Linked DNA regions of Oryctolagus cuniculus. The protein of the gene in region 1 purifies or fractionates together with the protein of each later gene. This does not show direct contact. Links are inferred from orthologs where the notes say so. Each region holds a gene or a part of one and is shown on either strand. Other genes may lie near its edges.

The links. The genes of interacting proteins can lie anywhere in the genome.
Region 2: the proteins of HSF1 (region 1) and HSPBP1 purify together in Homo sapiens (affinity purification with mass spectrometry; 5 studies listed by BioGRID and IntAct, counting the BioPlex papers as one, with this or other methods). This does not show direct contact. The link is inferred for Oryctolagus cuniculus from reciprocal best matches to the Homo sapiens genes HSF1 and HSPBP1.
Region 3: the proteins of HSF1 (region 1) and PRPF8 purify together in Homo sapiens (affinity purification with mass spectrometry; 3 studies listed by BioGRID). This does not show direct contact. The link is inferred for Oryctolagus cuniculus from reciprocal best matches to the Homo sapiens genes HSF1 and PRPF8.
Region 4: the proteins of HSF1 (region 1) and NCL purify together in Homo sapiens (affinity purification with mass spectrometry; 3 studies listed by BioGRID, with this or other methods). This does not show direct contact. The link is inferred for Oryctolagus cuniculus from reciprocal best matches to the Homo sapiens genes HSF1 and NCL.
Region 5: the proteins of HSF1 (region 1) and PLK1 purify together in Homo sapiens (affinity purification with western blotting; 3 studies listed by BioGRID and IntAct, with this or other methods). This does not show direct contact. The link is inferred for Oryctolagus cuniculus from reciprocal best matches to the Homo sapiens genes HSF1 and PLK1.

The regions. Positions count from the first base shown.
Region 1 is NC_091437.1:168,053,747-168,057,729, reverse strand, and holds the start of HSF1 (heat shock factor protein 1), read right to left. Parts: upstream 2,801-3,983; 5' UTR 2,614-2,800; coding exon 2,497-2,613; intron 1-2,496. Other genes in the region: ribosome biogenesis protein BOP1, read left to right, coding at 3,000-3,101. UniProt on the Homo sapiens protein: Functions as a stress-inducible and DNA-binding transcription factor that plays a central role in the transcriptional activation of the heat shock response (HSR), leading to the expression of a large class of molecular chaperones, heat shock proteins (HSPs), that protect cells from cellular insult damage.
Region 2 is NC_091449.1:3,620,615-3,624,722, reverse strand, and holds the start of HSPBP1 (hsp70-binding protein 1), read right to left. Parts: upstream 2,801-4,108; 5' UTR 2,643-2,800; exon of another isoform or gene 2,638-2,642; intron 2,396-2,637; 5' UTR 2,304-2,395; coding exon 2,100-2,303; intron 449-2,099; coding exon 244-448; intron 1-243. UniProt on the Homo sapiens protein: Inhibits HSPA1A chaperone activity by changing the conformation of the ATP-binding domain of HSPA1A and interfering with ATP binding. Interferes with ubiquitination mediated by STUB1 and inhibits chaperone-assisted degradation of immature CFTR.
Region 3 is NC_091448.1:47,208,467-47,212,629, forward strand, and holds the start of PRPF8 (pre-mRNA-processing-splicing factor 8), read right to left. Parts: upstream 2,801-4,163; 5' UTR 2,716-2,800; intron 2,637-2,715; exon of another isoform or gene 2,514-2,636; 5' UTR 2,503-2,513; coding exon 2,403-2,502; intron 1,899-2,402; coding exon 1,730-1,898; intron 498-1,729; coding exon 333-497; intron 243-332; coding exon 24-242; intron 1-23. UniProt on the Homo sapiens protein: Plays a role in pre-mRNA splicing as core component of precatalytic, catalytic and postcatalytic spliceosomal complexes, both of the predominant U2-type spliceosome and the minor U12-type spliceosome.
Region 4 is NC_091434.1:7,817,194-7,821,254, reverse strand, and holds the start of NCL (nucleolin), read right to left. Parts: upstream 2,801-4,061; 5' UTR 2,590-2,800; coding exon 2,572-2,589; intron 1,653-2,571; coding exon 1,536-1,652; intron 543-1,535; coding exon 38-542; intron 1-37. UniProt on the Homo sapiens protein: Nucleolin is the major nucleolar protein of growing eukaryotic cells. It is found associated with intranucleolar chromatin and pre-ribosomal particles. It induces chromatin decondensation by binding to histone H1.
Region 5 is NC_091450.1:15,675,920-15,680,072, forward strand, and holds the start of PLK1 (serine/threonine-protein kinase PLK1), read right to left. Parts: upstream 2,801-4,153; 5' UTR 103-2,800; coding exon 1-102. Other genes in the region: DCTN5 (dynactin subunit 5), read right to left, coding at 3,694-3,860. UniProt on the Homo sapiens protein: Serine/threonine-protein kinase that performs several important functions throughout M phase of the cell cycle, including the regulation of centrosome maturation and spindle assembly, the removal of cohesins from chromosome arms, the inactivation of anaphase-promoting complex/cyclosome (APC/C) inhibitors, and the regulation of mitotic exit and cytokinesis.

The DNA.
Region 1 (3,983 bases):
GTGCATGCACGCTGCACGTGGAGAAGGGACGTGTGGCTTCCTTCCTCAAAGGGCTCCACGAGCCACAAGGGCTGCTGGCCACTGCCTCTCACGGGACCCCTCCTCAGGCCCAGGCTGTGTCCTGGCCACGGCAGGCCCGTCAGTCACCCTGCCCAGCCAAGACCTGCGTGCAGCGTGTGCTCTGCTCCCAAGCCCAGATGCACATGCATGGCTCGCGTGGGGCGAGGGAGCCGTGGGGTAGCCAGGAGCTGTGGGGCAGAGAGGAGGGCCGACTCCTGGAGCCCCTCCCCAGTCCTAGCTTGGCTCTCACCCTGCCCAGGCTGGCTGGGACCCTCTGCCCTGGGCCCGCGGGGTCATGCAGCCCAGACAATTCTCTGCTCACCCAGGACCAACGAGGCCAGAAGGGAGAAGCAGGGCTGCTGGGCACCAGCACACATTTGGGGGCCAACGTCCCGTCCCCCATGAGGCTCCTCCTCCTGCCAGGCCTCCAAGAAGCCTGCATCCAAGGAGCAGGCTCTGGGGCCCGTGGGCCTTGTGGGAGCTGTCTGCCGGCCCCTCCCCTCACTGAGGGGCTGGGAGCAAACACCGGCGCTGCTCTAACCCCCTTGCCTGTCCTCACTGAGCCCTACCTGCCTTGGCCCCAGGGACAGGAAGACAGTGCAGAACCTGTCTCGTCCGTCCATCCGTCCCTCCACCCGCCCGCTCCAGGGGGCGGGACCCTCTGAATCCTGACTGTGAGGCAGGTGTGCTGGGGCCCTACTGCCTCCCTCCCGGGAGTGACGCTGGCCGGCCTGGGCAAGAGCCCAGACTTGTCTTTACCATCTCCCGCCTCACCGTGCTGAGCACCCCCCGCCCCCCCGCCCACCTGAAGGGGACCCATGAGAGGGCCTGTGACGGCCACTGTGGGGCGCCCTCGCCCTGTGCCTCAGGGCCTGCTGGGAACCAGCCCACCTGGCTCAGCACAGCAGGGGGGGGGCTCGCTTCCCAAACCCCTCATCTGGGTGTCGCCCTGCCCCCAGCAGACCTGGCGGACAGCACAGCCTCCTCCCAAAGAGGCCAGGGAGGTGCTCAGCAGGGGCAGCGCTCTCCTGGCAACCTCCCCAGCCAGCCCTGCAGGGCGCTGCCGCCTCCGGGTCAGGACACGCCCACCTGCACCGGCAAAGTCTGCAACCCCACACCCAGGCCGCTTTGTAAACTGCCTTCCACCCTCTCAGGACTCCGGTCGGTCAGAGGTGGGCTCCGTCCCGGCCGCGCCCGGCCTCCACTGCTCACGCACATTTGGGCTGGGAGCTCGGAGCTGGCCCTCAGCCCTGCAAGGCCCCGGCACCAGGAGCAGGCAGCGGGGCTGAGGGACCGGCCTCATGCCCCAAGTGTGGAGCCACCTGTTCACCCGGGTCCTCGGCCCCCTCTGCCTCTTTGGGAAGCGGTGGGAGGCCTGCGGCGAGGTGCACAGACCCACCTGGAACCCCGACCTCGCGCCCAGCAACCTGGCTACTGGGGCCTGCGTGTCCCCCTGCCCCCAGGCCCCCCAGAGTCTGACTGCTGCGCCCAGCAGACCCGCCCAGGGGTTTGGGCCGGTGTGTGTGTGGGGGGGGGGGGCCCTGGCTGCCTCGGGCAGCCTGAACTGGAGGAGGATTTGCCCGGGAGGGCGCGGAGCCAGCATCCCTGCCCCCACAGACCCTCTGGGTGGTGACTCACTGCCCCGTCCTCCCCACGCCTGTGGCTGACAGGAGTCCGGATCTCAGGCCAGGGCAGGCAAGTGCAGGGGCTACACCGGGCCCCACACAGGCCGCGCTCTCCACCCACCCCACCCCTGCTGACAGGCAGCCCCGGCTCTTCGGGGAGGAGCAGAAGGCCCTCGGGCGTGGATTTCAGACCCTCCCCAACGCTTGGCGAGCTGGACTCTGGGCAGTGACCCTGCAGAGGCTACGGGCCCTGCGTGGGTGTCCTCCGGGCCAAGGTGACCAGAGCACCACTGTGCCCAGGCAGCCAGCCTGGGGCAGCGCCGCCTTCCGCTGTGAAGCCAGGGCTTGGTCTGGGGTCGCCGTCAGCTGTGTGTCGGGTCCCGGTGGCCCGCAGGGACCACGCGCCGGCAGGGCCACAGGTGGTGGGGCCTTTCCCACTCCAAGCCCAGAGTGGCGCACCCGCTTCCCCAGCCGCCTCCCGACCCAATAAGCAAGACAGCAAGGGGGCCGTGGCCGCTCCCGGAGCGTCCGCGCGCAGGACCCCTCAGAGGGCCCGCGAGGTCCGGGCCCTGCCCGGCCAAGAACACTTCCTGCGGGCTCAGGAGGCAGGAGGCGGAGAACGCGCGCAGAGGAGCCGGGGGTCACTCCCCGAGGTCCCGGGCCTCGGCCCACACACGGCCTGCGCGGCGGAGAGCGGGCCTGCAGCGCCGGGCCCGGGCCGTGCCCTCCTCCGGCCGCCCCGCCGGCCCGCCTCCCCGGCCCCCGCCCAGGCCCCGGGCCCCCGGCGCTCCCCGCCCCCGCGGGCCCTCACCGGGCTCCAGCAGATGAGCGCGTCGGTGTCGGGGTCGCTCACGAGGGTCCACAGCTTGGTCAGGAAGGCCGGGACGTTGCTGGGCCCCGCCGCGCCGGGGCCCACGGAAAGGTCCATGTCGGGCGACGCCGGGAAAGGCGGAGGGAGTGGCCGTGAGGAGGGGCCGAGGGCAGGGCTAGCGCCGTCGCCGCGCCTGTCTCCCGGGCCGCGCCGCCGCCCGCTGCGCACACGCAACTCCAGGGCCTCGCATGGCCGCCGCCATCTTGCGCCGGGCGCGCTCCCGCCGGCGCCCCGCCCGCCGCGGCCCTGGCGTGCGCCTGCGCGCCTGTGCGTGCCGGCCCCGCCCCTCCCCGGAACGCGCCTGCGCACCTGCGCGCGCCTCGCGCCTGCGCAAGTGAGGCCCCGCCCCTTCTCCGACCAATCACCAATCAGGGCCGGCGGGGCGGTCCCGGGCCCGCAGGCGCATGCGGCTGCGAGGTTCTGCCGGAAGCGGCCGGCGGAGCATGGCGGGCGTGCAGGGTGCTGGGCGCGCCGTGGCGCTGGCACTGCGGCCGGGGAAGCGGCGGCTGGATCCCGGGCAGGAGCGGGAGCCCGAGCCGGAGGAGGTGACCGGGGGACGGCGGGGGTGCGTCTGGTTCCGGCTGGACGTGCACGTGGCGCGAGGCTGCTGGGGCTGGCGTCGGCGGAGGGCTCGCGGGGCTGGGCGCTTTTCCCGTGTGCTGGGCATCGGCCTTGGGGCATGTGGGTGTCGTCTGCTGCAGGCGTCTCCGCGGCCTCCCCAGCGGAGGAGGCTCGTAGTGGGGGCGCTGGGGCCGTTGGCCCGCGAAGGAAAGAGACGCGAAGGGGCCGGAGGCGGCCCTGGCTCCCGCCTCGACGCCATTTGTGCGTCCCGGCGCTGGAGGGTTTGTGCTTGCGCCCACGGCTCACCCCCGGGTCCCGCGCGGGGCGCGTTGTATGCGTGGGGGCGATGCAGAGCTGAGCTCCCTGCGCCGCGGCGGGGGCCTCGGCGGTGCGGTAGACCCCCGCGCTGGGTGGCGGGAGGCGCGCTCGGGCCTGGGGCGCAGAGGCCGCCCCCTTTGTCTTGGGCAGTGCCGTGGCCGGGCTGCCCGCACCGGCCCCGCACTCCTGCCGTGCCGCGGGTGATGCTCCCGCGGGGTCGCCTTCCCGTGTGCCCGGGCGTGGGGTGGGCTCGGCTCTGGTTGTGCTGCCTGCGGGAAGAGTGCGCGGTTGTGCCGCGGTGGCAGGCGCCCTGCGGCGTCGTGGTGCTGGTCCCGGGCTGCCTGGAGGAGGAGGCGTCTAGCCTGGGTGCTCCCGGGCCCGCTTCCGTTTCTCCCGCAGGGCCCAACCTTCCTGTTACCGGCGTCGGAGTGCGGTTTTGCTGGCGCCTAGAGCTGGCCCTGTTAACAGCAGGTGACAGCGGGTGGCCATGCCGTCAGTGGGGGCCTAGGTGGGCGGGCCGCTGCGGAGGAGGTGGGGGCCTGAGGGGG
Region 2 (4,108 bases), on another chromosome or scaffold:
AGCGACTGGGGTGCCCCCTCTGACCTCCCATCTCGGTGACCACCCCCTGGGGGGAACACAGCCCGCGCCCCACCGAGTTCCTCCAACTTCCAGAAACAGACAGGGGTACACGCCTGTCACGCAGCCACGGGGGCAGGGGGGAGGGGCCGAGCGCCCACCAGCACAGGGCCTGTGAGACCGATCCCTCACGTGACGGAGCTGAGAGAGGACAGCGGGGCGGGGCGCCCTGGCAGGCCGGGGTACCTGCGGCATTGTCCATGTTCTCACACAGGTCGGACAGCAGCTCCAGGGCGCCCTCGCGCTCCTGCTGGTCGCTGGCCAGCTCGGCCTCGGCGGCTGCAGAGGGCACAGGCTGCGACAGCACGCGGAGGCAGCTCTTCATCTGCTCCACCTCCTCCCGCTGGCCCCGGAAGGCGGCCGACATGGCCTCCTGCAGCCACTGACGCCTCTGCGGGGGAGCAAAGCACACACCTGTCGGTAATTCATCAAGGAGGAGCGGCCGTTACCCAGGATGCCCAGCACCTGAGGGCCGGCGGCGGCCACTGGGGACGCAGCCCTGGGCCAGCAGAAACCCCTGCTCTGAGGGCAGTCGCGTCTGGTCCCGGAGCAGATATTGCAGAAAACGGGCAGAGTGAGTGTGCCAGGGGAGATAGGACAGGTGCCAGCGGGCCCCACGGCGCTGAGGCGGGGCTGCCACCAGGCAGGGGTCAGGGAGAGGTTAGGGGCTGGGACATGGCTGGTAAAGCCGCCGCCTGCAGTGCTGGCATCCCGTATGGGCGCCGGTTTGAGTCCCAGTGCTCCACTTCCCATCCAGCTCCCTGCGAATGCTCCCGGGGAAAAGCAGCGAGGGCGGCCCAGGTGCTGGGGCCCCTGCACACGTGGAGAAGCCTCAGATGATGCTCCTGGGTCCCTGCTTCCACCTGACCCAGCCCCGGCCATCGGGGGAGTGAATCCGCAGATGGAGGATCTCTTTCAAATAAGCAAAATCTTAAAAAAAGAAAAAGAAAGCAAAACAAACAAAGGAAGAGCTCCAAGGGGAGGGAATGACGGGAGGCCGCCATCGGGTCGGGGTGAAAGCCGAGCACTGGCCAGTGTGGGTCCCTCCCAGGGCCCCGTGCGAAGGCCTCACAAAGGGCTCTGCTCGGGCCGGGACAAATCTGGCTTCCTCCCTGTGGCACAGGTTCAAAACAGGACGCACAGAGCGGATTAGCAAACGCTTCCCATTCGGTGACCGGCGATTAAACATTATGCACGACTACATAACGACTACATAACAATATATAATATGGTATACATTGTAATAACAAAATGTATAATATTATTGGTAGCATAATATTGCTACCAATCTTCAGAACAACTCCAGGAGGGGCCTGTGTCGTGGTGTAGCTGGCGCCGGCATCCGACAAAGACGTCGGTTTGTGTCCCGGCCATGGTCTGGGAAAAGCAGCGGAGGATGCCACAAGTGCTTGGGCCCCTGCCACCCAGGTGGGAGACCCCGGTCAAGCTCCTGGCTCCTGGCTTCCGCTTGGCCCATCCCTGGCCGTTGCGGCTATCTGGGGAGTGAACCAACGGATGGAAGACCCTTCTGCCTCTCTCTCTGTGACTCTGGCTTTTCCAACAGCTCTGTGAGCTATCACCATCATCCCCGACTCACGGAGAGAGCACCGAGGCACGGGAAGGCTACCACCGCCCCAGGGTCCCGCGGTCAGCAGTCGGCAAGGCCTGAAGCCGGACAGAGCGGAGCCTGTGCCCTGGGGGCGACCTGGCTGCTGCCCGCCCTTCCTGAACTGGAACCTCCCAAGTGCCCGCTCAAGTACTGTCAATCATCGCCGGTCTACAAGCGACAAACCTGAGGCTCTGAGTTAAGTACCGTTCCTACATCCAAGGTCACGGCGCCGATCCAGCCGAACCCAGGCCTGCCTAGCTCTGCGGAGTCCCTGGCCACCCCCCACCGGGCTATTGCACCTCCCGGAAAAGTTCTGGGGTGCGAGCACCTGTCCTCCCAGACGCTTCTGGGGCCTGACGCGCCAGGACTGCCGCCCCCTCCCAAGACCGCGGCCTCCGGTCCCGCACCCCCGCCCGGCGTCCCCCTTCCTTACCTCCTCACTCATGGGCTCCGGAGGGGGGTCCGGCTCCTCCGAGCCCGCCGCGATCGCCATCTGCAGCAGGCCCGGCAGGCTGCGCGGGGGCCGCGAGTTGCCCGAGCCCCCCGCCGCGGAGCCGCTGCCCCCCGAGGAGCAACCCTGGGAGGCTGGGGGCAGCGCCAGGGGCAGGCGGCTGCCCCCCGAGCCTTCGTCCGCCATGGGCCGTGTGTGCAGGAGAACGCTGTGCTGCGAGGGAGAAGGGGTCGCTGCTGGGGCAGCCCCGGCGTCCTGAGGGGTCGGCTCCCGGGGATCTGCCGAGAAGGTGACGCTTGGAGCCCCCGCACGACCCCCATCCACGCAGCGCCCCAGAGCCGCAGGCACCCCCTGCCCCCTGGCAACAGGCCCCACCCACCCTCCCTAGCAACAGCCCCATCTCCGCGCCGGGCGAGCCCCACGGCCCAACCCCCGTAGCGGCAGGCCCGCCCGCCCCTCGGCCTCCTTCGCAAAGGGTCTCCGCCCTCCTCTCCGAAGGGGGCGGCGCAGCGGGACAGACCTCACCTCCAGGACCTCGGGCTGCGGCCGCTCAGAGACTCAGAGCCGCCCGCACCTGACTCTGCTGGGCGCCGCCATCTTGACAGGAAGTACGCGCGCTCTAACCCGGAAGTGTTGGGCGGACCCAGCCGACCTCGGGTGGCTGAGCGGCCCGAGGCAGCTGGCAGGTCTCCGGAGCCCTCCATCCTACCCCTCCCAGCCAGGCCCCGCCCCCACGCCGTGCCTCGGGATAAGCCCCGCCCCATCACCCTCACTGCAGCCCCGGTGTGGGCCCCCCAAGCCTGGCTCCGACCCGGGGCCCCCGCCTGCATCCACGTCCCCGCCCCTGTGCCTCTGTTCTAGGCCTCCCGCGACCGCTAAGCCACGCCCCTCCCCAGGCCACGCCCCTTTCCTGCAGGTGCTGCGCCCTAGGTCGGTTTGGGCATCAACCCCAAATCTCATTTTCTCTTCCGCCTGGGCATCCACTTTGCCTTCTGCTGGAGCCCTAGGGGTCTTGCACCTTGTATTCAACCTCCGATGCCGCCTTGGGCCCAGCCCACCGCCTCACCTTCTGCCTCAGTTTCTCCATTTGTCAAATGGTGGTTGCCCTGGGGCCCCCTGTTCTCCCCTCGCTTCTCCCTTACAGAGTGCCAGGTGCTGGGAGGGAATCGCAAGTGACGATTCTGTGCACCCAGCCGGGGCCAGGGGCTGGGCTGGGCCGGGTCGGGCTCAGAGAAACCCCGGCTCGGCTCCTCCAGGCACCGCGCTCGGCCGCAGGTATCCATCTCCTGCCGGGCCCTCAGCGGGGTATCTCAGGCAGAGATGGGGCGACAGACAGCTGGGCCGCCTGGGCACACCAGGGAGCTTTGTCAGCCAGGCGTCTGGCCCTGGCAGTACCCATACGGTGTTTTCCTGTTGCTGTCGGTGGCTTAACACGGCACACACCACGCATTTCTGAAGGCAGAAGTCGGATAAGGTTCACTGGGCTAAAACCAAGGCGTGGGCAGCATGGGATTCCTTCCGGAAGCTGCTCCCGCTCCTGGCCACGTGGCGCCAGCACTGCTCCCATCTCCTGTCCTCCCCAGCACCCCTCTTACACAGAACGACCCTGTGATCACACTGGACTCACTCAGATCACCAGGAAAACCTCCCCCATTTCAATGCCCTTAACCGCAGCTTAAGCCGCCGGTCCCACCTCAGTGCTGGGTCAATTCCTGCCCGTGCCACCTCCGATCCAGCTCGCTGCCATTGGGCCTGGGAAGGCAACAGAAGACAGCCTGAGTGCTTGGGCTCTGGCCTGCCCTAGATGGAGCTCCATGTTCTGGGTTTCGGCCTGGCCTGGCCCTGGCTGTTGCAGCCATTTGGGGAGTGAACCACCAGATGGAAGATCTCTGTCTCCCCCTCTCTCTCTGCTACACTGCCTTTTTTTTTTTTTTTTTTTTTTTTTTGGACAGGCAGAGTGGAAAGTGAGAGAGAGAGAAAAAGGTCTTCCT
Region 3 (4,163 bases), on another chromosome or scaffold:
GTGGTAACTCCACCATCACTCACTTCCTACTATCCCTCAAAGGCTGGTGGTCATAGAACCAGTCCAACACAGGCGCATCCTCTTCCGGGTCCAGCTCTAGCTGAATAGCTTCCAGTGGCTCAACATCCAGAATGTTGTCAGCATAATCCAACGGCGGCTCCTCGTCATCAAAAGGGGGGAAACGCATCCTCTTGAAATGCCTCCTGTCTCTTTTTTCTCGACGCATCATGATCCACATTGACCTGGCAGACCAGAGTACCACAGTATAGCAAGTTCTACTCACTGCCTCCCGACCAGCATCACCACACGCACCGTGTGCCAGCCTCGCTTACCCCCACTGGGAGATGTAGACAGGCTCAATGACCCAGGGAATTTCATTGACGAAGGAAATGGCTCCAGTGATGTGGTACAGCACAGGCACATCCCGAATCTGCTCCCAAGGCATGGGCATGTTCTCCAGGAGCTTGAGGACAGCATGGGGCATGTACTTGAGGGCCCTGCCACATTGGGAAGAGATCATTAGCAACGACAAGGTATTCTGCTCCCTGTCCTATGTAGAGAACCATGCTACCTCAGTATCGTGTTCCACGGGCAATCTTCCCTGACAGTTTAGACTCCCGTCAGCACACAGCCCCCCCGACCAGGAATCCTGCCTCTCCCTCTCCTACTTCACCAGGTGCCTCTTTTCCTCCTCAACTTCACAGTCCCCCAGTTTAGGGGCATCAATCCCTTGAAATCAACAGCTACCCCTCTGCAGACAGCTCTGAAGCTCCCTCACAACCTATCTTCTCTCTACCTTCCCACAAACTATCAAATATTCACCATACTTTATTGTAACTGGTAGTCTCGTGTTGGCCACACCACCAGACTATAATGCTCCAGAAAAGTAGGAATCATTAGTACCTGTTCACTGCTATACCCCTGGCACCTAGCACAATCCACACACATCAAAATATTTTTTAAATAAATGAAACTTCCACAGTTAACATCTTTGTGTTCAAATGGAACAAAGATTAGCTGTGACTTTTCTATCTGTATTCACTCAGCTCAGGGACAGAGAAACATGAGGACAGAGGACTCAGGAGTTAACCACCCCAAATACAACAAGTCTGGTCACTGCGAAGTTACAGGCAGCCAGACTGTCCCACTCTGGACCTCAACTCGTTCAATAAAAGAAGCACCTTTTAATAGCACCAATAAGACAAATTAAGGGGCCAGCGCTGTGGCACAAAGAGGGTAAGCCGCAGACTGGCTACAGGCAGCTCATGTCAGAGTGCCAGTTTAATTCCTGGCTGCTGTTTCCAACTCAGCTCCTTGCTAACGATCCTGGGAAAGCAATGGAAGATGGCCCAGGTACATGGGGAACTGTCACCCACATAGGAGACCTGGAGAGAGGACCAAACACCAGCTGTTGCAGCCAGCTGGAAAATCTCTCTCCAGCTGATGCTCTGCATTTTAAATAAATAAATAAATCTTTTTTAAAACGACAAATTAAAGCACCAGTCTCAGATCAGGAAGAGGAATCTGGGCACTAAAGTGCATTAACTGGAATATCTGAAAATTACCAGTAAATCCTAGAAATGTTCTCCTGTCTCTCATAACCACCAAAATGGAGTCAACCAAGAGGACTCCCACCTCCAAATGTCAGAGCATCTCTCCAGGACAGCAACCTCCGTAGAGAGAAGAGAAGGCCAAACTCCAAACGAAATGATTTCAGGATAATCCTTACCCCAAGTAGACCCTTTTGTCATGGCGGAACTTCCTGTTGGTCATGTCCCCGTGGTCTCGGATGATCTTCCTGACATGTTCTGGGGGCATGTCCTCCTTCTGAGCGTCCACAAATCCAAACTTCCGCTTTTCTGCATAGCGCTTGGCCTGCAACTGCTGCCATTTTCGGGCTACAAAAGCACCCCGGTTTAAAGGGCTGAATGCACACTCTTAGCCTGATTACACCCCACCCCCTTGTCCTAGGGTAAGCTCCTGTTAGAGAAGACAAGTCTGGGGACAGCAGGGCACCCAGCGGGAAAGGGCGCCTCCCTTGCCATCTTCATCACCACATTTAACACTGCTTGATGTTTTTGTCACAGGTGTTCGAGGCTTTTATTGTCAAACTCCCTCATTGCAATTCAAATCCCATAATGGCAGACGTGTCTTCATTACTACTGTATTCCACCGGATCAGCGCCAGCTGATCCAGACGCTGCAAACTACCTCATTCGATTTTTTAAAAATACTAAGTGTCACTCATAAGGGAACTGACACCTAACGAACTGCCAAAATGGGAGGGGGGGGGATGTCAAACCCACTGGTGCGCACGCGCACACTCCACCCCGGCCACACACGCAAGCTCGCAACCCGAGCCGTCTCCAGGCCAGCGCGCGCCGCCGCACACCCGTTCCTCACCTTTCTCCTGCAGCTTCTCCTCCGACATGTAATCCGGCAGCGGGGCTAGAGGGCCGGGCACCGGGTTACCCGGCCCTCGGTAAGGAAATACTCCGGCCATGCCCGGAGACTCTGAGCAGCAGCGGGATGCAACAATTAATGAGCGACAAGGCCCGGACCCACAACAAGCGCAGCAGGAACGTTTCTGGAGACCCCGGCCTGTACCGCCACCTTGCTAAGGCTGCATCTAGCGCGGCCCGGCCCAGCCCCTCCGGCCGCTCAGCCCCACACCACCACGCCTCCCGCAGCCAGGCCCAGAACGCCCGCCACGCACCCCACAGCCCCTCACACGAACAACCGCTTTTGCAGTAGAGCAATGGCGGCAAGCATACGTCCGCTCCGCGTTCCTAACGCCGGGAAGTGCGCAACCCCATCTAGCAGTTGATCCAATGGGCGCTCAGTTTCTCAGATAGACTGACGAGCTCACCAATTACAGGTGGACATTGAGCCGGAGTAGGCGGGCCCATAGGCGGAAGGGATGCGAACGTGAAGGGGTGTGGTCGGGCTAGGTTCAAGTCCCGCCTCCCTAATCGCGAGGCTGCCTCGGGGCGTCGGGCGGATTTACGGTCTAAGCTGCTGGCGTCGCGGCGGGAGAGACCGAATCCGTCCAAGTTTTAATAAATCTGCCAGAATTGCACCCTCTGTGATTTTTCTCATAAATGGAGACCTTTGTCGATGCAGCCATTCATTTAATCGTTAGAGGGTCCACTGTGTAACGAGGCTTGAGGATATAGCAGAGAAAGACAGCTTTGCGCAGGTGACAGGTAGCAGGAAGGAAGACGACCCAGCCTGGGGCGGGAGGACGCCAGTGTCCCGCATCTAAGAGTTGGATGCTCCAAACTCCAGCTTGCTGCCAATGGAGGCCCTGGGAGCCAGCCAGTGTAAGAGGAATGGGGTCCCTGCCGCCCTCGTTGGAGACCTGGACTGAGTCCCGGGTTCCTGGCTTCATCCTGGCCTCACCCTGTTGCTGAGGCATTTGACGAGTGGTCTGGCAGATGGGGGCTCTGTCTCTCCCAGTTCTCCTGTTTTCTTCTTAAATGTTAATAGTTCTAGCTCTTACGTAAAGGTTTATGATTTATATTCGATTGATTTTTGTGTATGGTGTGGGATAGGAGCCTAAATTCTTTTTTTCTTTTAATGATTTATTTATTTACTTGAAAGGCAGAGTTACAGAAGGCAGAGAGAGAGAGAGAGACAGAGAGGTCTTCCATCTGCTGGCTCACTCCCCAAATAGCTGCAACAGCAGGAACTGGGCCAGTTCAAAACCAGGAGCAAGGAGCTTCTTCCGGGTCTCCCATGGGGCTGCAGGAGCCCAAGCACTTGGGCCCTCTTCTACTTACTGCTTTCCCAGGCGCATTCAGCAGGGAGCTGGATGAGAAGTGGAGCAGCTGGGATTCAAACGAGTGTCCATATGAGATGCTGGCACTGCAGCAGTTGCAGCCAGCAGACGGAAAACGTTGTCTCTCTCTCTCTCTCTCTCTCTCTCTCTCTCTCTCTCTCTGCCTTTCAAATAAAAATAAATCTTTAAAAAAAATAAAGAAAAGATAAAAAAAAAAAAAAGGAAGTCATCTCCTGTGTTATGAAGCTGCAAGAGCTGCAGAAAAATGAGAAAGGCCATGAGCTTAGGCAGGAAGAATTTTCTGACTTATAAGAGCATTTTTAGAAAACCAGTGTGGGGGCCACCATATGGGAGAGGGCATCCCATATGGGCACTGGTTCGAG
Region 4 (4,061 bases), on another chromosome or scaffold:
AACCTCCCAGAGCCAGGAGCCACCATGACTTCCTTACCGTCTTCCTCGTCCTCCTCGTCGTCGTCCTCGTCCTCATCGTCGTCTTCATCCTCGTCCTCCTCGTCCTCATCCTCGGAGGCGGGGGCCACCGCTGCTGCCTTCATGACCGCCGGCTCAAACTCATCCTCCTCGTCCTCCTCGTCATCTTCATCCTCGTCGTCGTCGTCCTCCTCGCTGTCCTCCTCCTCCTCCTCGTCGTCGCTGTCTTCCTTCTTGGCGTTCTTACCATTCTTGGCCCCCTTGGCGGGGAGGACCGCTCCCTTCTTTCCCGAGGCCGCTACCACTGCTTTGCCCAGCGCGGCCCCCTTCTTGCCCGACGCCACCACCGCTTTGGCTGGGGTAGCGGCCTTCTTCGCTGGCGTGGTGGCGGCTCCCTTTTTACCTGGAGTGACAACTGCTTTCTTGGCAGGAGTGGCAGCCGCAGGCTTTTTTGTCGGGGAAGCCACCGCCTTCTTGGCTGGAGCCGCAGCAGCTTTCTTGCCTTTCTTCTGTGGGATGACTATCTAAACAGCAAACACCAACAGTTAGTTCTGCTACATCCGAAAGGCAGCCCTGGTCCCAGTGGTGGATTCTGGCACTGCCTCTGGTTCAAGACTGCATATGTTCCATGTTAACATGTTAGGTTCAACAGTAAGTAAAGTGCTGTGGCGTAGCACATAAAACTGCTGCCGGCAGCCCATATGGGAGCCAATTCAAGCCCCAGCTGCTCTACTTCCATCCTGCTCTCCGCTGTGGCCTGGAAAGCAGAAGATGGCCCAGGCGCTTGGGCCCCTGCACCCACGTGAAGACCCAGAAGATCCTGGCTTCGGATAGGTCCAGCTCTGGACGTTGCAGCCACTTGGGGAGTGAACCAGTGGATGGGAGAACTCTGCCTCTCTATAACTCTCTTTGCAAATAAATAAATCTGAATATTAAAAATCATCTGGGGATCATACAGTGGGTAGTGGTACAGGATTCTTGTCCTGAGACAGGACCTGAGATAAAAATCAGCCTTAAATTGGCTGAGCAACCCTTACAAATTACAGCACATCAAATAAACACTGTATCTGTAAGAACCATTATTTACCTACATTTTAACTCCTATTCAAAGCTATTTTCATTAACTTCCTAGTTTATCAGATAGTTCACTTAAGAGTAAAGTCTTTGCTGAATTCTAAAAAACCGACTTTCCATGCAAGCAATGAACGTGAATGCTCAGGTGGCACCTTCAACCCACCCAATCGCTACAAACCTTACATACAGGGGGGGGACAGAATCCACCTGGTCCTTTATGCTGAGCAGGAGAAGTGTATCAACCTCACTCCAGCCGTGCAGAGGGCACAGATCCCAGATGCTCACACTCAGGTACTCACCCAACGGTCTCCTGCCATCTAAGCACCCCCCACCCCGGGTCACGTGAATAACACACTACTTTTCATATCCTTTTCAGACACCCAACACCATTCTGTCCACTGTGTAAGTGCAACCCAATTTCTCCTCGATCGCGACCCAGTTACCTCTTCTCCACTGCTGTCATCCTCGTCATCTTCCGACATCTCCTCGTCTTCACTATCTTCTTCTACCTCCTTGGGAGGAGGAGCCATTTTCTTGGGCTCACCTTGGTTTTTACCAGCCTAAAACGCACACAATGAGGACATGAACACCCCTCATCGATTCCACGGCCCACAATAAAATACAACCATCACCCTCCTCAACGCACTTTCAGCATTAAACATAACCGATCCTGAAACTGACCAACAGTACGGCCCATCAGAGTTTCCCTGTCAATCTTGACAAAACCTAAAAAACAAGTCCAAGGTGATGAAATAACCCATCTGCCTTTTTTTACCCTCAACCACTTAATTCACCCCTGGGTTCAACCCTAGCACCAGGCACCCTTCTTAGTAGCCAGCGGCCACTCTTCCAGGGAGGACCCCCCCCAGCCTCCGACGCACACCACCAGCGCCCTCGTCGGAACTCCGGGCAGCACCAGCGTCGCAAAAGCATAAAAGTAACAAAGCCACCTCGGACCCCAACCGGCCTGCCCCTCTCACCTGGCCGCGGCCACGTGGGGGTGCCCGGCGGCCACCATGTGCACGCACCCCGGCGCCTCCTTCCGGGGCCGGCGCACGTGGCGGCGGCCGGGGGGCCCCGGGCAGCTGGGCCAGGGCCGCGGGTTCGCGCCGGCGGGCCCCGGCCACCCCGCGGCCCACGCGGCGGGGCCCACGTGGCGGGCCGCGAGCCGGCGCACGTGCGGCCGGAGGCGGGGCCCGGCCCGCGCGCGGCGCACGAGTTGGATCTCACTTCCTCCCGCCGCCCCGCGCCCCGCGCCGCAGCCTTCCACGCCGCCCTCAGCACCTGCCGGAGCGCGCCGCACCTCGCCGCCAAGCAGCCAAGACACGCGAGAACTGCCCGCCAGTCGCGCGAGACTTCCCACAGCATGGCGCCCTCGAACGCGCCCGGGACGGCGCGCAGGCCCTCCTCCCCGCGACGCCGCGCGCGCTCCTGAGCAGCAGGCCTCGGCGCTCGCGCTCGCGCGCCCTCAGCGCTTACCTTGGCCAGCTTCACCATGATGGCGGCTTACGACGGCGGCGGCTGTGGCGCAGACGAGCCTAGAGGAACCCGAGCGGCGTCGATGGCGGCCGCGGGTGACTGAAGATGCCGGAGCACGTACGCCGGGCTGCCAGCGAGAGCTAGAGACTGAGGCGAAAGACTGAGCCTGCCCAGTAATCGCCTCTGGAAAGGCGACGACGGCGCCCTCGTGACTCCTCCTCTACCAATCAGAGCTCGCGTCCGTCGCGCGAGCCAATCGCAAGCCGCTAACTGTGCGCGGCGTGGGGCGGGGATTGGGCCGGAGTGGGCGGGCCCAGGCGGCCAAGGAGGGGAAGGGGGTCTGGCGGCCGCGTCCTGGAGGCGGGATTTGCTTTGTGCAAGGCCGGCGCTGATTGGCCCGGGGGTGCGCGGGTCGCAGAGTGTTCCTCCGCGGCCGGTCGTCCCGGCGCATGCGTCATGCGACGGGCTCTTTTGGCGCGGGGCGAGCGAGCGAGTGGCGCGGCGAACTGAGCGAACGCGGGGCGGTGGTCTCGGTTTCCAGAAAGTAGCCGGGTCCGGTAGACGTGTGCGCGGGAGGGCGCCGGTGCGCGCTCCTCGCTGAGCCTGCTTGCGGCTCTGGAGCGAGGGGTCGCGGCGGTTTCCTGCGGGTCAGCCCGAGGGCGCCGGAAGTTGAGGTTCGGCCAAGTTCCGAGTGGCCCTTTCGGGGGCCCGCCGGCCAGCCAGGGGCCCCAGACTCCCTGGCCGCTGGAGCGCCCTCCGGCCCACGTGCCTCCCGAGGGCTGCGGGTAGAGTTGTGAGCCGTGCACAAGCGCTCGGTTAGTCCCCCGTAACCACGCGGCAGGTGTTTGTCCCCGCGGTCCAGCAGCTTGGAGGTCGCGCCCGCGAGGGGCTTGGTCATGGTGGGGTGGGCAGCGGGACCTGGGCCGCCCGCCGCGCTTCCTCTGCCGTCAGTGTGGCGGCTGGGCGGGCAGCGGCACACGTGGCCCAGCAGTGGACCCGGCGCCCCGGGCGGGGGCTCGGAAGGTGGGCTTGGCGTTGTGTGCTCCTGCGGCGGCTCAGATGGGCGCCAGGCTTAGCGAACCAACCGGAGCCGGCCTCGGATGCCCCCCAGGCTTCTGGTAACCAGCTGCCCCAGCAGAACCTTTGATAAAAGTCGCCTCTGAAGGTTCAAAGTTGAGGAGGTCTGGGGGGGCCCGGGGTCGCTCTGTTTCTGTTGGAGAGGCAGAGTGGCAGACCTGCCCAGATGCCCAAAACAGCCAGGGCTGGGCCGGATCGAAGCCAGGGGCTCCATGCAGGCCTCCCCGGGAGCTGAGGGCCAGGGACCCCGGGACTCCAGCGTCCCTTGCTGTCTCCCATGTGGTCGGAAGTGGAGGTGGTGCCACATCCTAGGCACTCGGTCCGGCCCACGCGGCAGCTCAGCCTGCGGCGCCCCAGCTGCCCACCTGGGATTTTGCACTAAAGGCCTAGGAGCATTCTTCGGGGCGGCCGAG
Region 5 (4,153 bases), on another chromosome or scaffold:
AGCAGCTGCCGGTGCTCCGGGAGCTGCCACTCCGGGGCCGCCAGCCTTCCCTGGGTCGGCCGGCGCCCGCGCCAGCTTTGCTGCACTCAGCGCTGCACTCATGCTCCCGGGGCTGCTCGGCGGACCTGGCAGGGTCGGGGCAGAGGCTCTGCACCGCACTGCTCCTCCCCGAATTCAAACGCGGCGCTGGGAACGTTACAACAGCCTGCGCGCCACTGATTGGCCGCGGGGATTTAAAATCCAAACCCGCCCGCCGCGCGGGACCATGGGAGCGCTCCGCACCGCCCGCCCGTCAGCCCGGACCCGGGCAGGAAAACACTTGATTGACAGCAAGGCGCCGACGGTAGACACGTGGGCTCTCCTGGGAAAGCGTCCCCGGCCTGGGGAGGCCGAGCCCCAGCCCCGGGTAGAGGGGAATTCGTTCAGGGCTTCTCCCTTACTGGGGAGCCGGGCCGCTCCTGCGGTTCACACGCTCCCTCGGGCAAGTTTTTCCCAAGAGTAGAGACCCCGCAGCGCCTAGAGGCAGTTTAAGAGAGCCACAGCTGACCTGCAGGGCAGCCGCCTGCCTGCCCCGGGCCCTCGGGCGAGCCACCCCGAATAAACTGGAATCTAAGTGAAAGCAGGCACCTTCACGGGACGCCTCTGGTCCCCTCCAGGGCTCTGCATTACACAGCAACGCCGCTCAAAGCACCGTCCAGGAGCCAGCAGCATCACCATCACCTGGAGCTTCAGGCCTGCTCCAGCTCTCCCAGGTCAGAATCTGCCCAGGTGATTCCTACACACACTGGAGCCCGCTACGGGACGCGGGAAAGCTGCCTGGCTCGCCTTCCCAAGTGCCTAAAATAGAGGACGCGGGAGAGGGAGGCTGGCTGGGAGAATGCCTAGAGACGGGCAGGTCACAGCCACAGCTGAGCTGCAGGCTGTTTGGTGTGGTTTTCCACTTTGAAAATTTGAATTCATTCACAGCAAAGAGAGCTCAAGCTGGGCTTGGGGACACTTGCATTCCCTGTCAAAGTGCCTGGCTTCAAGTCCCACCTCTGCTTCAGTCCAGCTTCCCGCTAATGCACACCCTGGGAGGCCACAGGTCACCGCTCAGCTACTTGAGTCCCTGGCTTCTGGCTCTGGCTTGGCCTAGCTCTGGCTGTTGTGGACATGCGGGGAGTGAACAGAGGATAGAGAATCTCTCTTTCTCTCTCTCTGCCTTTCAAATTAGGCAAAATAAATACAGTTACAAAAAAAAATAAATAAAGGTGGCTCACACAAAAATTCAGATTTGTGGCTTTTTCTGAAATAATCCGAGGTGCCAACCACTCTGGACTGACCAACCCTCCCAGTCTGCCACAGCACCCAGCTCCCGCCTGCGCCCATTCCGAAGGCCCTTGACTGACAACCCTGGGACAGCAGAACACGAAGGTGGACGGTCTCTGAGTAGCGACAATCAGAGCACAAGCTCCTCCTGACCAGGCCCCCACTTAGGCTGGTGCAACGAAGACAGCACCTCATGCCAACTGGCAGTGCAGCATGCGTGGCTGGTGCGGGTATTACCGAAATGGTTGCTGAGTAAAAGCAAGGGTTTTTGCTTTTAATCATCATTTTTTTAAAAATCCCCATCAAGTGTACTCTATTTTAGCTTTTCACTAATATTTGGAAGACTCCACAGGACAATTTTCACATCCTAGCGGCACATTTTCACAAACTGTAAACATGCCCCATGTAAACAACACTCAGACTGAGAACGAGAACCCCACCAACACCCAAGAAGCCCTCCTTGTGCCCTAACCACCCCTCAGTTAGATGATTCACTAGGACAGTCGCAGGACGGAGCACACACTTGAACTCACAGCTGTGAGTTAGTTCAGCGAAAGGCTAGGAATAAAAGCAGCAAAGGAAAAAGACACACGGAGCGAAGTCCAGAGGAACCCAGGTGTGAGTTTCCCAGTCATTTCCCAGCGTAGTCACAAAGGACACCCTGACTTCTTCCAGCAATGAGTTGGGACTACCTACAATTTTCACTGGGTGCTGGTCATGATGTTGGCCTCTGCCTAACACCTATCAGAACTCCAGACTCTCAGGAGAAGCAGGTGTACGGCACGCAGGAGCGGTGAGAACCTACCTGAAATCTAAGCTCCCAGACAGCAGCCCAGGGTCAACCTTGCAAACAGACCTTCGGAAGGGGAGCCAGCCGCAGCCTGCTCCGTTAATGCTTATCACCTCTCTATTAACTTCTGCACCACTCACCCTCTGGGCTGAGGCTTCTTCACAGAAAAATTACCAGTAAGACTGCGTGTGAAGAGGCAAGACCGTCCTGCACTGTGGTTTCAGTCACGCCTGCTACGGGTCTGAAGTTTAGCCGGTTCCCATCACTCCCATAACTGCAGAAGTCCATCTCAGAAAGCCAGGTGGCCTCCGCCTTGGGTGATGTAAACCATGCTAACTGACCTGAGGCGTCAGTTCAGGCACGGCAGGACTCTGGCCAGCAGGTTGAAGCCCTTCCAGGGCTGGTGCAGGGTCAGGGCAGTCAGGGTCACATAGACAAGTACAACCCCAGAGGCCCAGGTGGCACCCCTGGATACAACGCCTTTACAAAATGAGGGCAGGACATAAATCAGGCACAACAGGTTAACAAGGGGCCCCCCTGTGGACTCCTACCATGTTTTCAGGCCCATCAGAAAAGTTCCCAGAGTGCTTGGTTTCTGAGGAACTTCCTGAAGGCAGTGAGTCCCAGTTTTGCCTGTTCACGACACAAGTTTATCCTACTCGTCAGTGTGGATGGCAAGCGAAGGTGTTTGGTATACAAAGTGCTGGAGCCCTCCCCTCCCCCACTGTCCGCCGTCTGAACCCCAAGCACTCCAACAGGTGGAAAGGCAGCGCGGGGAACTTACCCTTCAGGAAGAGGGGAAGGTTTTCAGGAATAGTTCTCAAGAACAAGTATCAGGCCTCCTCAGGTGCCAGGTTTTTATTTCTCCAATGTTACAAAATTAGTCCTCTTCAACAATCCTAACTTTACATTCTTTCAATCATTTTTTAGGCCTTTTGTATGGAAGAGTTGTATACAGGAGGTACAAAGACAGCTTTGCAGATACAGATCTGTACACAACGTAATAGAAAGACACAGTCAGGAGCTTGTAAGGATGCTATGGGGTGTATCCCCCAAAATCCACTTGTTGAAGCCCTAATCACTGGTACTTCAGAATGCGACTGTGTTTGGAGATAGGCTTTTAGAGCGGAGATGAAGTTGAAATGGGGTTGTTAGGGTGGGCACTAATCCAATAGGACTGGTGGCCTTATAGAAAGGGGTGATAAGACGCAGAGACACACACACAGAGGGACTCTGGGAGGACACAGCAGGAAGGCAGCCATCTGTGAGCCGGGGAGAGAGGCTTCAGGAAAAATCAAACCTGTTGTCACCTTGCTCTTGGACCCCCAGCCTCCAGAATAGTAAGAAAATAAATTCCTATTGTTTACGCCACTCAGTTTCTGGTATTTCATTACGGTAACCCTAGCAGACTAGTAGAGGATAAAATTCTAAATTTTCAGAAATTTACAAATTAGTGTATATCACTGTCCTCTGTTTTTGTCCTGTCTACCCAATGTACAGGCTGGAAAAGACCAAGCCCTTTCTGGGGACAGTAACATTTTATCAACCTACCTCATTTGGCTGTGTGTACTCGAGAAAAGTGAAGGGAAGCAGAGTTAGACTATCAGGTAATGTCGTGAGCTGCAACTAATCCCGAAAGCTGAGCCTGAGCCAACAAACAGCAGCACTGTCGAAGCAGGCACAAAGGTGACAGTCTCAGTGACGTGCCTTTCCCAGCTGGTGACTTTCAGCACAGATCTGACTTCAGGAATGCAATCAGCCTCTGCAGCAGAGACAGCAGCTGATCAGCAGTTTGATTGTAGGCGTTCCTGTCAGAGAAGCCCCTTCCTGTGGGCACTTGTGTGCCAAGCAGATGGTTCAGCCAGCATCCAGATGTCTTCAGATTCAGGGCCCCATGGAGGGGGCCCTAAATCACCAGTGGTCCCAGGGTCTGAGTCCTGTTCATTGAGCTGGCGCCTGCTTTCAGCTCAGCATAGCTCATTTGTGGCTCAAACAGCTGACAATATGGGGCCAGTGCTGTGGCATAGCGGGTAAAGCCGCCGCCTGCAGTGCCAG